Linked DNA regions of Sus scrofa. The protein of the gene in region 3 interacts with the protein of the main gene of each other region in a biochemical or structural test. Links are inferred from orthologs where the notes say so. Each region holds a gene or a part of one and is shown on either strand. Other genes may lie near its edges.

What was found. The genes of interacting proteins can lie anywhere in the genome.
Region 1: the proteins of YWHAQ (region 3) and PRKD1 form a complex in vitro, tested with the Homo sapiens proteins (2 studies listed by BioGRID). The link is inferred for Sus scrofa from reciprocal best matches to the Homo sapiens genes YWHAQ and PRKD1.
Region 2: the proteins of YWHAQ (region 3) and MARK2 form a complex in vitro, tested with the Homo sapiens proteins (2 studies listed by BioGRID, with this or other methods). The link is inferred for Sus scrofa from reciprocal best matches to the Homo sapiens genes YWHAQ and MARK2.

What each region holds. Positions count from the first base shown.
Region 1 is NC_010449.5:69,821,308-69,824,952, reverse strand, and holds part of PRKD1 (serine/threonine-protein kinase D1), read right to left. Parts: intron 2,938-3,645; coding exon 2,658-2,937; intron 1,661-2,657; coding exon 1,608-1,660; intron 1-1,607.
Region 2 is NC_010444.4:8,163,586-8,167,230, forward strand, and holds part of MARK2 (serine/threonine-protein kinase MARK2), read right to left. Parts: intron 2,576-3,645; coding exon 2,527-2,575; intron 2,200-2,526; coding exon 2,134-2,199; intron 2,051-2,133; coding exon 1,980-2,050; intron 1,770-1,979; coding exon 1,713-1,769; intron 1,032-1,712; coding exon 795-1,031; intron 350-794; coding exon 230-349; intron 130-229; coding exon 30-129; intron 1-29. UniProt on the Homo sapiens protein: Serine/threonine-protein kinase. Involved in cell polarity and microtubule dynamics regulation. Phosphorylates CRTC2/TORC2, DCX, HDAC7, KIF13B, MAP2, MAP4 and RAB11FIP2. Phosphorylates the microtubule-associated protein MAPT/TAU.
Region 3 is NC_010445.4:126,737,546-126,741,728, reverse strand, and holds the start of YWHAQ (14-3-3 protein theta), read right to left. Parts: upstream 2,935-4,183; 5' UTR 2,780-2,934; intron 2,385-2,779; 5' UTR 2,321-2,384; coding exon 2,027-2,320; intron 1-2,026. UniProt on the Homo sapiens protein: Adapter protein implicated in the regulation of a large spectrum of both general and specialized signaling pathways. Binds to a large number of partners, usually by recognition of a phosphoserine or phosphothreonine motif.

The DNA of each region.
Region 1 (3,645 bases), on a different chromosome or scaffold from region 3:
GTGTGTGTGAGCCAGAGACACAACAAAAGGCTGATAATCCATGGTAAAATTCTCACCTGTGAGGTAACCTAACTCATCCCCTTTCACCACTTCTGGAGGTAACAAGTTTCCCAGCATTTACTCTTTTCTCTTTGAAGTAATACTTGCTAAGTAAAGCATTCTGTTTTAGATGACTGTGTTTAGAGTCTGATTTGATGACCACACTCAGGAAAGAGCAATGCATTACTTTTTCAACTTAAGTATTCCCATTCCACCCTATGGAATTTTCTGCCTGTCCTCCACTCTTGCGCTCCCTGAATTTTCAAGAATAAAAGTCCTTTTACAACAAATCCTACTCTCTGAATATTCAGTACATTCCTATTCTTTTCCTTTGTTTGTCCCCCTAGAAAACAACTACAAGTTTTTTTTCTATTCTGGGACCACAGCAGAGTGTCCAGGGTTCAGAGTTCAAGGTTGTCTGGAGATAAGAAAAATTAATTAATGCTATTCCAGAATTCTAAGTCCAAGCTACTACTCCATCTTTACTTGACAGCTCAATAGCTTTCCCAGAATTTTCAGCCAAACTGAGTGGAAGAACCCCACAGGCATCTAGAATTTCCCAAGAGGCTTTTAGGTAGATCTGTATTCCCCAGAGTCTTCTCTGGATGAGCAGGAGCATCAGGAACCTTCAGATCTTTAGAAATCTGTCTCGTGATTGGAATACATCTATTTTCATTATGAAGTTTTCCTTATTCCCCCTCATTCATATTTGGTTTTCAGTTTACTTTATGCTAATTTAGCAAAGGTTGCAAAGGTATGCTTGGGATGAATACAGTTTCATGGTGTTTATTCCTTAAAAAATAAACTCAGATCAGTATAAGTAAGGCTGAAAACATTTTCCTTTTGGTTATAGACACAGGAGGCAAAATAGAGGGAAAGATCTGAGTCACAGGATGAGGTAGGAAAGGCCTTATTACTTTAGAGCTATTTGCCACAGTGACAAGTATAACAAAAAAAGCAAACATGTCACAGAGTGTAAATTATTTCACAATATGTCTGATCTATAATTTTAAAAAGTAAGCTGAAAGGATGGAGTTATGTGGCACAGTTGACTAAGGTGCTAGAACGTGGACCCATAAAATTTTATTTTTGCAGCTTTCTGATGTCTCCTTGATATGTACAAGTGATTGAAAGAGCATCTGCAACACCTTGTCATATGACAGCACTCCTGGGTAGCAATCAAGGAAGAAGAATAATGTTTAACCTACTGGTGCAACTCAAATAATATATTTTATTTTATCTGGTATTATACAACATCAACCACCAAATTCCAGTACCAAGATATGCAAACATGTGAAAAATCAGGCATTGCATTATAATTGCTTATCTGAGATGGAAAACAGATATTTAACACTCCACACTACAGAACATATTATAGAAAATAAAAGAATTCGTACAATGTAATATTTCTAAAATCTTATAGAAGAAAAATATCCAAGTGGACCCTATTTTATTTTCTAGAAAGCACTCAAAAATTAAAATGTTAGATAAACAAAAACGTATTTTATGATGCTCTTATTTTCCAATAAAGAATCACAGAATCAAGTTTTCTATTAGTAGGTACATACCACATTTTCTTGTATCTGGCAGTTGGAGACTGAAATGCTCACAGAAACATCTCCTGGAAATACATGTTAAGAAATACACAAGAGAAGTGAGAGGGTAATAACAAAATAAGTAAACACATGCTTATTAATCAAGCGGCAGGACTGTTTTAAAATCATAGCAATTAGATTTTTCTAGGAAAATATCTATTAGGATATTTCTTTCCTTTTACAATTACAGATTTACTCTGTACTTGGCTCTAAAAAATAATATTTTGTCACTTTAGAGTTCAGAGCTATAAAGACTGGTTTGCCATTTCATAACTTGACACAAGCTGAGACAATATACTGTCTCTAGGACCTGATTTCCTCACCTGTAAAACAGGCAAATCATTATCGTCCACCTGTTGGGGTTGTGTGGGGCATTCAGATAGAGATCGCACATAAAGTGCTCAGCATCCAAATAGGCATATGCAGTCTATTAATGTGTATACTGGCTGGAGAGATCAATTAAAATGTTTTGACAGAACATCAGAAAACACACTGTGATATTAAACCAGAGGTTTTTCCAACAGGCTTCAGTATTATAGCCATTATGAGATGTTTAAGTGATATTTTTACACAGATATGCCTCTATAATGTCTTTTAAAAATTCATCCTCAATACTTGACCCTGACTGCATTTTGGTAAAACAATGAACAGAGACTTCTTCCTGGGATAAAATGATCAAGAGTTCCCAAGTACTCTGTACTAGCATTCTGCCCAGAGTAACATGTTAGATGGTTTTGAGGACACATGGTAACTCAGATATGCAAATGGCAAGACTGGCAACCCAGGTCAGGCTCAAGCTGACTAAATTACTTCTTTCAATAGACCTAGGTTTCTGCTATTGCCTAGTATATTCAATTTACACTAATTTATTCAAATGCTTAATATAAAAAGAAAAATAAAATAGGATAATTTAATCAAGGAAATATCCTAATTATTTGGAGACCCTATGTTCTCCAATAAACTAAATCATCCTCGAAGAGGCTCTCTTTATCTGTTCTAAAGATAGAGAACTAGCAGACGCACTATGCAGGTTGGTTCCTGAACCCACGGAGGAGCCCTTGGGAATAACGGGCATGAGGGCGTGCTGGATGGCCATCTCCCACATCCTGGCCACATCTGCACCAATGCCGCTGGTGAGGACGCTGCTATTTGGTGGAGGGCTGGAAGGATTGACCACATTTTCTCCCACGTAATACACGACATTTGCTGTAGTGATCTCAAAACAGTGAGGATTGGCCCCACTAGGAATTAAAGCTGATGGTTTTGCTGGTTCCAGAGACAAAATTTCTGATAAAGGAATTTCCTGTGGAAGAAAGAGTGTGTTCAAAAGCAGTTTATCAAAAGTATGTACACTTTCAAATAAAATTCATGCCAGGGACAGGTGAGAAAGGACATTGCAATCAGCCATCATTTATATAAAATGCCTTTATAAGACATAGAATATTATGAAGAAAAATTCAAAAATATCTTTGCCAGGGGGAACTTTATCAATCTCCTTTCTCCAGAAAAATTCCAGTGACTTTTTTTTTTTATTATGTTCGTGTGGCAAGAATAAGTAGAAATAAGAACAATAAATTTGAACCTATATACAAATCAAAGACTTAAAATATAAATGACAATTTTTTATAACTGTGAGGTAGAATCATAACCTTTTTGAAATGTAACTGAGTATGTACAGCTGTTTTAAAATTTCATCTATTCTTTAAGGCACTGAAAATGAATCAAGTAATCTGATTTGATAGATGTTAATATAACAATATAGCCACACAAATAGTTTTAGTGAGGAAAACCACAGCAAGTGAAGCAGTTGCTTTTAAGACAACTCTGATATTAAAAAAAATTATATATTGTCCTCCAGAAGGTATAAAGTGACTAAGAAATAATAACATTGAAAACAAATTTTTAATTTAAGAGTTAATGAGGTTTCTTTTTACTGTTAGATCGGTAAAGTGGCTGTGGAGAATGACCCCACCTATGCCTGAGCCTGCATTAATCTTGAGGGGAAAGTATA
Region 2 (3,645 bases), on a different chromosome or scaffold from region 3:
CTCGACCCCAGGGCCCAGGACAACCTCACCTGTCCGCCTGGGGTCCTTGTAGTCAGGGAGTGGCTCCACATAAGGCTTTAATTCATCATCTTCGTGACCCACATTCATCCATCGATCTTTCATGATTTGCTAGGGAGCAAAGTGAAGGGAAGGGCAGAGAGGGAGACTCAGCTTGGAGGTTTCCTTGGGGACCCGGCACCTTCCAGCCCGCTGGGCTCAGGCTGCTCACCTCTAAAGTGCCTCTCTTGCTGGGATTGAGAATGAGAAATTTCTTAAGCAGGTTTTCACAGTCTGTGGACATGTAGAACGGAATACGGTATTTCCCCCTCAGTACCCGCTCCCGGAGCTCCTGCAGGAGAGAAATTTAAATCACTCAAGGCCAAGGGAAGAAACCTAACACCCCGGCTCCTAATAGCTTAAGACTGGTCAGGCAGACGTAAATGAAATACGGCCAGAAGAGCCTGGAACAAGGCACCTCACTAGAGAGGTGGTGACGTCCAACACCCCACGCCCTGGGGCTGGACCCGCACGAGGCTTGCCACCCTGAGGGCCTCGGAGGGGTGAGTGGTGGGTGAATACAGGATTTACCCCAGCCCTCACGAGCAGAACTGCAGTTATTAGAGCAGGTGGAGAAGGCCTTTTAATAGCTGCTACCTTTCGCCAGCCCTTCTCTGAAGCTCCGGCATGGGAAAGATGTAGAACGGCAGCAAAGGTGAGAGACTGGGGACAAGACCAGCGCCCGAGAGAGGAAATGAGAAGTAATACAAGCGACCTAGGGCTGAACTTCACTCCACCTTGAGGTTCTGTCCATCAAAAGGCAGGGATCCGCTGACCAGTGTATAGAGGATAACTCCCAGGCTCCACACATCCACCTCAGGTCCATCGTATTTTTTGCCCTGGAAGAGCTCTGGAGCAGCATAAGGGGGACTGCCACAGAAGGTATCCAGCTTGTTCCCAAAGGTGAATTCGTTGCTGAAGCCAAAGTCTGCAATCTTGATGTTCATATCAGCATCCAAGAGCAGGTTTTCTGCCTGCGAGGCAAGATGGAAAATGTCAGGGAACCAAGTGGATGACACTAAGGCACTGGGCAGGAAGGAGCCGAGGGGAATGGGACAAGGAACAGGAAGTCATCGTCAATCTTAGACCTTTCTCCACCAACTCCGGGGCAGGCCCCCCATCAATGTGAAGAGGCTGGGCTGGGCTGGACGCTGGTGGCACAGGCTGCTCCTCACATAGGCAGCGGGCGAGAGCTGGGATCTGAAGGCTCAGAGACCCTGGGAGCTGGGCAAAGCTTCCACGGCTTCGAGGACTTAGGGCCAGGAGACTCGCACGCAGTCTCATACACTAATATCTCAGTGAGAGAGATGAGTGAGCCGCACACTTGCAGAGCAGCTGGGACGCAGCTGTGCAACAGTCAACACCGTTTCCTCGGCCAGCCACCAGGCCGCCTGCAGCCCTCCTGCCTCGCCTGGCAGCACCAGAAGGTGATGTGCCGAGAGGTGAAATGGCAGAGACTCTCTGCTCGCTGGCTGGAATGGGATCCTAAGTCCAGCCGCAAGGCCTATGTCAGAAGCAGCCCTAGAGGCTTCCTCATCCTCCCCCAAAAATGAAAGGCTGGCGTTTGACTCAGGGTGTGATGGTTATGTCACAGTTAACGAGGGTGAACAGCCCGGCCCCGACTTAAAGACCCAGGAGATAAGAGCTTGTCTTACCTTTAAGTCTCTATGAACAATAAACTTCTGGTGACAGTACTGCACAGCAGACACTATCTGAAAGGAAGGATGAGGGGTCAGCCCACGGATGCCCGAGGGTGGGCCACAGGGGCTGGTGGAGCTGCAGTCCTGTGACCAAGTTCGAAGCTGCCACATGGATAAGCAAAGCCCAAGGACCCTCCAACAGTCACTTAAAGAAAGGCAGCTCCTCCGTGTACGCCAACCCCCCCCAAAGCAGAGGTCGGGCCCACACTCCGCCACACCCACCTGGCGGAATTTGGCTCGGGCCTCTTTCTCTTTCATCCTGCCATGAGCCACTAGGTAATCAAACACCTCTCCTGCAAGAGACGGGGCAGGGGCTAGAGCTTGCTGGGGCTGGGGAAGAGGGGGACACAGGAGGAAGAAGCAATTCCATGCCTACCTCCACTAGCATACTCCATGACAAGGTAGAGCGTTTTTTCAGTCTCGATCACTTCAAATAACTTAACTATAAGAGAAAAGGCCAAGCCATGAGTCAGAGAAGCAGCAGGGGCCGCGCATCGAGCCCTAACTCGCACAGGGGCATCCTAGGAATGAAAGTTCCCTCCGTTCACATTCCTGCTCTCCCAAGGACAAGTTCCTCTCAAAGCAGCCACCCCCCCAAGGACAGCCCTGTGCGTCAGAGGCGGGCTGGACGTTAAGCTGGGCTTCCCCAGAGGCATCCCTGAAGGCGAGAGGTGCCAGAAGGTGACGCGCCTCAGGGCGGAGAGCTGCATGCTGGGAAGTGGGGGCCCGGCTGTGGGCGAAGAGGAAAGGAACGACAGCTGCTTCTCACCTATGTTGGGATGATTCAAAACCTTCATTATTCTTACTTCACGGAACAGCTGGAAAATAAAGTGCCAGGGGTCAATGCTGGCTCAGCTTGCTCCCCTCAGGTCCCCTCCAAACAGAGCCATTGCTAGGATGCTTTTTTCAAAAAGAAAAAACAGGCAGGGGAAAGAAAGAGGGCGGTTGTCCAGGTCCTCCATGTCCGACCTTGACGGCTGAGGACGTGGGCAGAAAGGAGAGCAAAGGTGGCGAGTGGGCGCTTGTGACCTGTACCCTCAGGTGTGGCATCTGGACGAGTCAGCAGTGCCCTCGGTGCTGTCTACCCAAATCCAGCGCCCAAAGAGCAGGCGGGTTTTGGCTGGTGCCTCTGCAATAGGGAGTGTGAGCCCATGAACATGAATATTCAGAATCTGAGCTGCTTCTAAAGTTCACTGACAAAGCAGGCTCCAGCCTGGTCGGTGAGAAGGGTGTGAGAGGGTGGGGGGTCCTGAAGGGGGACCCCATCATCCTCTGATCTACAGAAGTCAGAGGGCTCTGCACCAGTGGGTAGGCCTTTACCTCCTGGGCCTCGGGGTGGTGACAGAAGCAGCCACTCCTATATATAGCTGATGCCAATTTTAATCAAATCCACCTCCACACACTCACGCTCTCTTTGTGAAACAAAATCAGGGACTCCAAACCATGCATCTCCATAAAGAAAGATGACAGAGATGAACCCCATCCCTCTGCGGGGGCCAGAGAGCTGGAGGTGGGCTTTTTTCTAACTCCCAGGCCTCACCACTTGCACAGAGAGCAGAAGTATTTTGTTTTGTTTTCTTTTCAAGGGGAGGGAAGGTATGGAGACCTAATTTAGGCTATAGTTTATGGGGAAGAAGTGAACACATCTTTTTTTTTTTTCCCCCGTTAATGAAGACCCAGAGCTTTCGGGAGCTGGAAAGGAAAAAAGAGACAGGCTTTCTAATCCTCAGGAACCTGATTCTGGCCTTGGCTCCCCTTTCTTGGTAGAGCCCAGGTTTCTCTTGCTTTCTCCTCTGGTCCGGTAGTTATCTTAGATGAAGAGGCAAAAAATCCCGGACACCAGCGCAGGGGAAATAATGGGGAGCAGCACTGAAGTGGGGCCAGAAGG
Region 3 (4,183 bases):
ACTTAAAGACAGGCTTTCTCAGGATATTTTTGGTAGGTTTGGCCATTAAGTCATAACTTAGTTTCTTCAGCCATTTTACCAATAAAAATATTTTACTTATATTTTGGTGTCTAATTAATCTAGTCTTTTATTTCACTTAGTGAGCGTGTGTGTGTACACATATGAATATTTCATATAAACCTGTCCTAATTGCAGCGGTTCTCTTCCGCTGAAATGATGTCCGAGAAAAGTCTCCTGAATATACTTGGTCTCTCAAGTCGCTTTTCGAGTAAGCAAACTCTCCTCCACTCATGCCATCAAAAAAACGAAAATTTGTAAGAGCCACAAAAATAAAACAAATATTCCCGGCTACCTTGCTAGAGAATAGCAAAAATTCTGTGGTACTCCTGGATTGCTGCAGGGTAAGTAACAAAGTGCAAAGTAAAGACAGAATAGAAAAAGATGGAAATATGCTGTGGGAGTGCCCCAAAGTAACACGGACCTAAAAAAGCTTGTCCTTGACACAGGCATCCTGATGCATCTTCCTTGACAACAGAGAAGATGCTCTCAAGAGCCATTACCATACGCACTGAAGCCCACCACCACTTTCAAGACAGCAAAATTTTTTTGAATATAAGCAATTCAGGGCAGAAAGTTTCTCTGAGTGCCTCCTTTACAGCAGGCAGGGAATGGCAGCTAAGACATAGATGACCCTAAAATCTCACCCACATAAAGCCAATAACCTCAACAGAAGTTTCCTCCACTCTGTACACTCTCTGCATTGCTTTCTTTGCCCCTTTACCAGCTTTCTCCACCAGCCACGATTTTGTTCAGATCATCTGCTATTGGTGTTGAAAAAATAGGTGAAAGGAAAAAAAAAAACAACAAAAAACAAACCTCCTGCCCCACCAATTCGATGGGGCAAGGAAGAGAAGATTGGGACAAGAGGAATGTCCCCCTCTATTCCATCTTGAAATATCGCCAATCTAGCATGACTGTCTTTCAAAGGCCACCTAAAATACTACATGGAACGAATACATCAAAAATCGCCAAGGCCCCCTGTAAACGTGGCCCATAAGAAAAGAGGCAAATGCATCAGATGTTTCATTATTTTATTAGTAGAAATGACTCTTTGCAGTATCAAAACACTTAAAAACACTCCAGAAGATAATGCTGGCATTGAGATTTTAAAAACTTATCTTACCGATCGAAAGACCCATACAATGACAAAGCTAAAAACGTTCTCTCTCACTAATAAGAGTGAATCACAGCAGGCACCCTACTCCACCCAACAGCCACCCACGCTAAGACTGGACAGTTCAAAACCTGCAAAGTCCTCCTTGCCTCCTCCACACCAGATACGAATTCACTTCAACACATTCGTGTTTCAGCGTAGCTATGTCATAGCAAGGAAACGCTGTCAGGTACTGAAATTTGGCAGGACATTCGATTTAGCGGTGCTCTTTTCACTTTTACCAAATTCCCCCCTTTCCCCGTTTTTAACAAGGAAAAAGCTCAACAGATACTCTTGCTTGAAAAATGAAGCACCCATTCAGATTTTCGTAAAGTTCCACGACTAGGTTTGGAAAGAAAACCAAGCCTTGCTCACACACGTATCGAACAGGAGCCCGGCACCTTCTTTCAAAGGAAGCCTGACGCCTATGAATTGATTAACTACATTTAAAGGGTTCCCAGGTTTCCTCTGTAAGCTTGAACACGATGCTCAGTCTTGTACAAACCCACTCGCGTGTTTCAAAGTTACAATGGTGGGGAAGCAACCCAGCATCTAAGAAAAACCTACTTACCACTGGGGCGGGGAGAAGCAGCTTCTGGATCTCAAGAACTGAAATAACACAGCGAGCAGGCCAAGGCTATAACCTCCTCAAACCCTCGACGTCGGCAGACAATCGGGAAAGGCCCGGCCCGACTCGGTCCCCGTGAAATTCTCAAGGGAGGGCCTTACACAAAGGGGCCCCGGCGCCCCGGGACGCACGGCTCCCCGGCTCCCGCCGCCCGGCCTCCCGCCCCCGGAGGGTCGCACACTCACCAGGACCGTGGTGCAGATGGACCGCAGCTCGGACTCCACTTTCTCCCGATAGTCCTTAATCAGCTGCAACTTCTTGTCGGAGGTGTCGGTCTTCTGCTCGATGCTCGAGATGACCCTCCAGGCGGACCTGCGGCCCCCGACCACGTTCTTGTAGGCCACCGAGAGCAGGTTGCGCTCCTCGTTGGACAGCTCGGCGCCCTGCTCCGTCACGGCCTTCATGCAGGTGGCCATGTCGTCGTAGCGCTCGGCCTGCTCGGCCAGCTTCGCCTTCTGGATCAGCTCCGTCTTCTCCATGGGGCCGGGGACAGGGCAGCGAGGGCGAGCACCGACCCGGACAGCGAGCAGGCGTGCGGCGGGCCTGCGGGAGGGCGGGGGCAGGAGGGCGGGGGCGGCGCCGTCAGACAATGCGCCCGCCGCCCGGCCGCCCGCCCGCGGCGCCTTTTGTCTGTCCCCGCACGCGCGGCCCAGTTGAATTTCCCTCCCCCGCCCACGCTCCCCACGGGGCGCCCGGGAGGCCCGGGGGGCGCCCGCCCAGGCGGCCCCGGGCGGGAGAAGGAGGAGGAGGAGGAAGGGCCGCTCCCGCGCCCGCCCGGCCCAAGATGGAAGCGGCCGTTGGCCCGCACCTTCCCGCCGGAGCCGCCCCTGAGGAGAGCGGCGTCGAGGCCAGCGGCCGCTCCCCCCGGGGCTGGCCTCCCGCCCGGCTCTCAGGCCCGGCCAGGCCCGAGGAAGGCCGGGGGCGACCCTGGCGCTCACCTTCACGTCTCCGCGGCCGCGGCGCGAGTCCCACCACTTTGATCGGCTTTTGGCTTTAGCCGAGGACCCTCCCGTCTCAGCCTACCTCGGAGCCGAGAGGCGGGCCGCCGCGCGGCTGCCCTCGCTCCCGCCGCCCAATGGCGCGCCGAGAGGTCCCCTAGGGTCCCGCCTCCCGCTCCGCCTCTGGCCAATGAGCACTGAGCGCGCGGAAGGGGGCGAAGGGGGCGGGGCGGGAGGGGAAGCGGAGGCTAGGAGGGTGGGTCGGCTTGGGCAAGTTCGGTTGGCTCGCAGGCTGCGGCTTCGGCCACGGGGTTTCCTCCAATTAGATCCAGGGTAAAAGGACGTCACTGTTGCCATGGCGATGCTGTTACCAACTCCCCTCATCCTCCCCGCCACCCCCAGCCCTCGTGGGTGCGGCACGGGAGCGGGCGGTTCGCACGACCTCTCCTGCAGTGGCCGGGTCTCCTGCTGCAGCACCGCTGCAGATGGGGCATTGCATCTTGTGGGCTAATTAATGCAGCTGCGGCTCTCCTGAGCCCCGGTGAGGTCGGGCCTGGGAGGGTGATACCATCGGCTGTTTGTTGCACAAATGCCTTTCTTTCCTCCACCTTCCTATTCGTGACAAACGTTTGAAGCTCAGTACACAGAACCCAGCCTTTAATGACGTTGCGATGGGGACTGCGAATTAGATATAATCCCATCCCCATTAAAGAGGAATTCGTTTCTGGAGAAAGCGGCTTAAGCAAGGGTCTTACACGAGAAATTCATTTTCAGACGGGTACCTAAACCCTGAAGTTCCCTTGGAAAATACCAAAAAAAAAGTCCAGACAGGTCTCTCTGGCGATGCCAGATGTTGCGATTTTCTTTAAAATGGGAAATGACATGATTAAGGATAATCTGAAGAAACACACTCTTCCCCCAACTGTTTTTATATTTCTTTTCAGCATTCCCAGGTCATGTGTCTAAATTCATATTTTTCCCATCATTGTGGTCTTACATGTACATGCTTTTTATTTTCTGGTATTAATTTTGAAAGGACGCTTGCAAAGCTCAACTTCCCTCTCTAGATGTTGACTTCTGACTTTCTCCTTGTGAACACCCTTCTGGCATGAGAATGATCTGCCCAAATGCCTTTTATCCAGGGTCATGGCTATCCCTTTCCTTTCGCTTCAAACTGGGCACTCCCCTCCAGCCACTCCCTTCTCTCCTGGCACTCCCTGAATAAGGTGCTGTCCTGAGTGTCTGGGCTCAGGCTACCATGATTCCAGGTCCAGCCCAACACAGGGAAAATGGATCATTGAAAGTGAAGAAAGCCACTGCTGAGAAAGAATTTCAGATTCCAAGTAGAGCCTGGAACAGACTTGAAGACTCTAGAATGGAAGATCTGAGGGCCAACAGATGGCC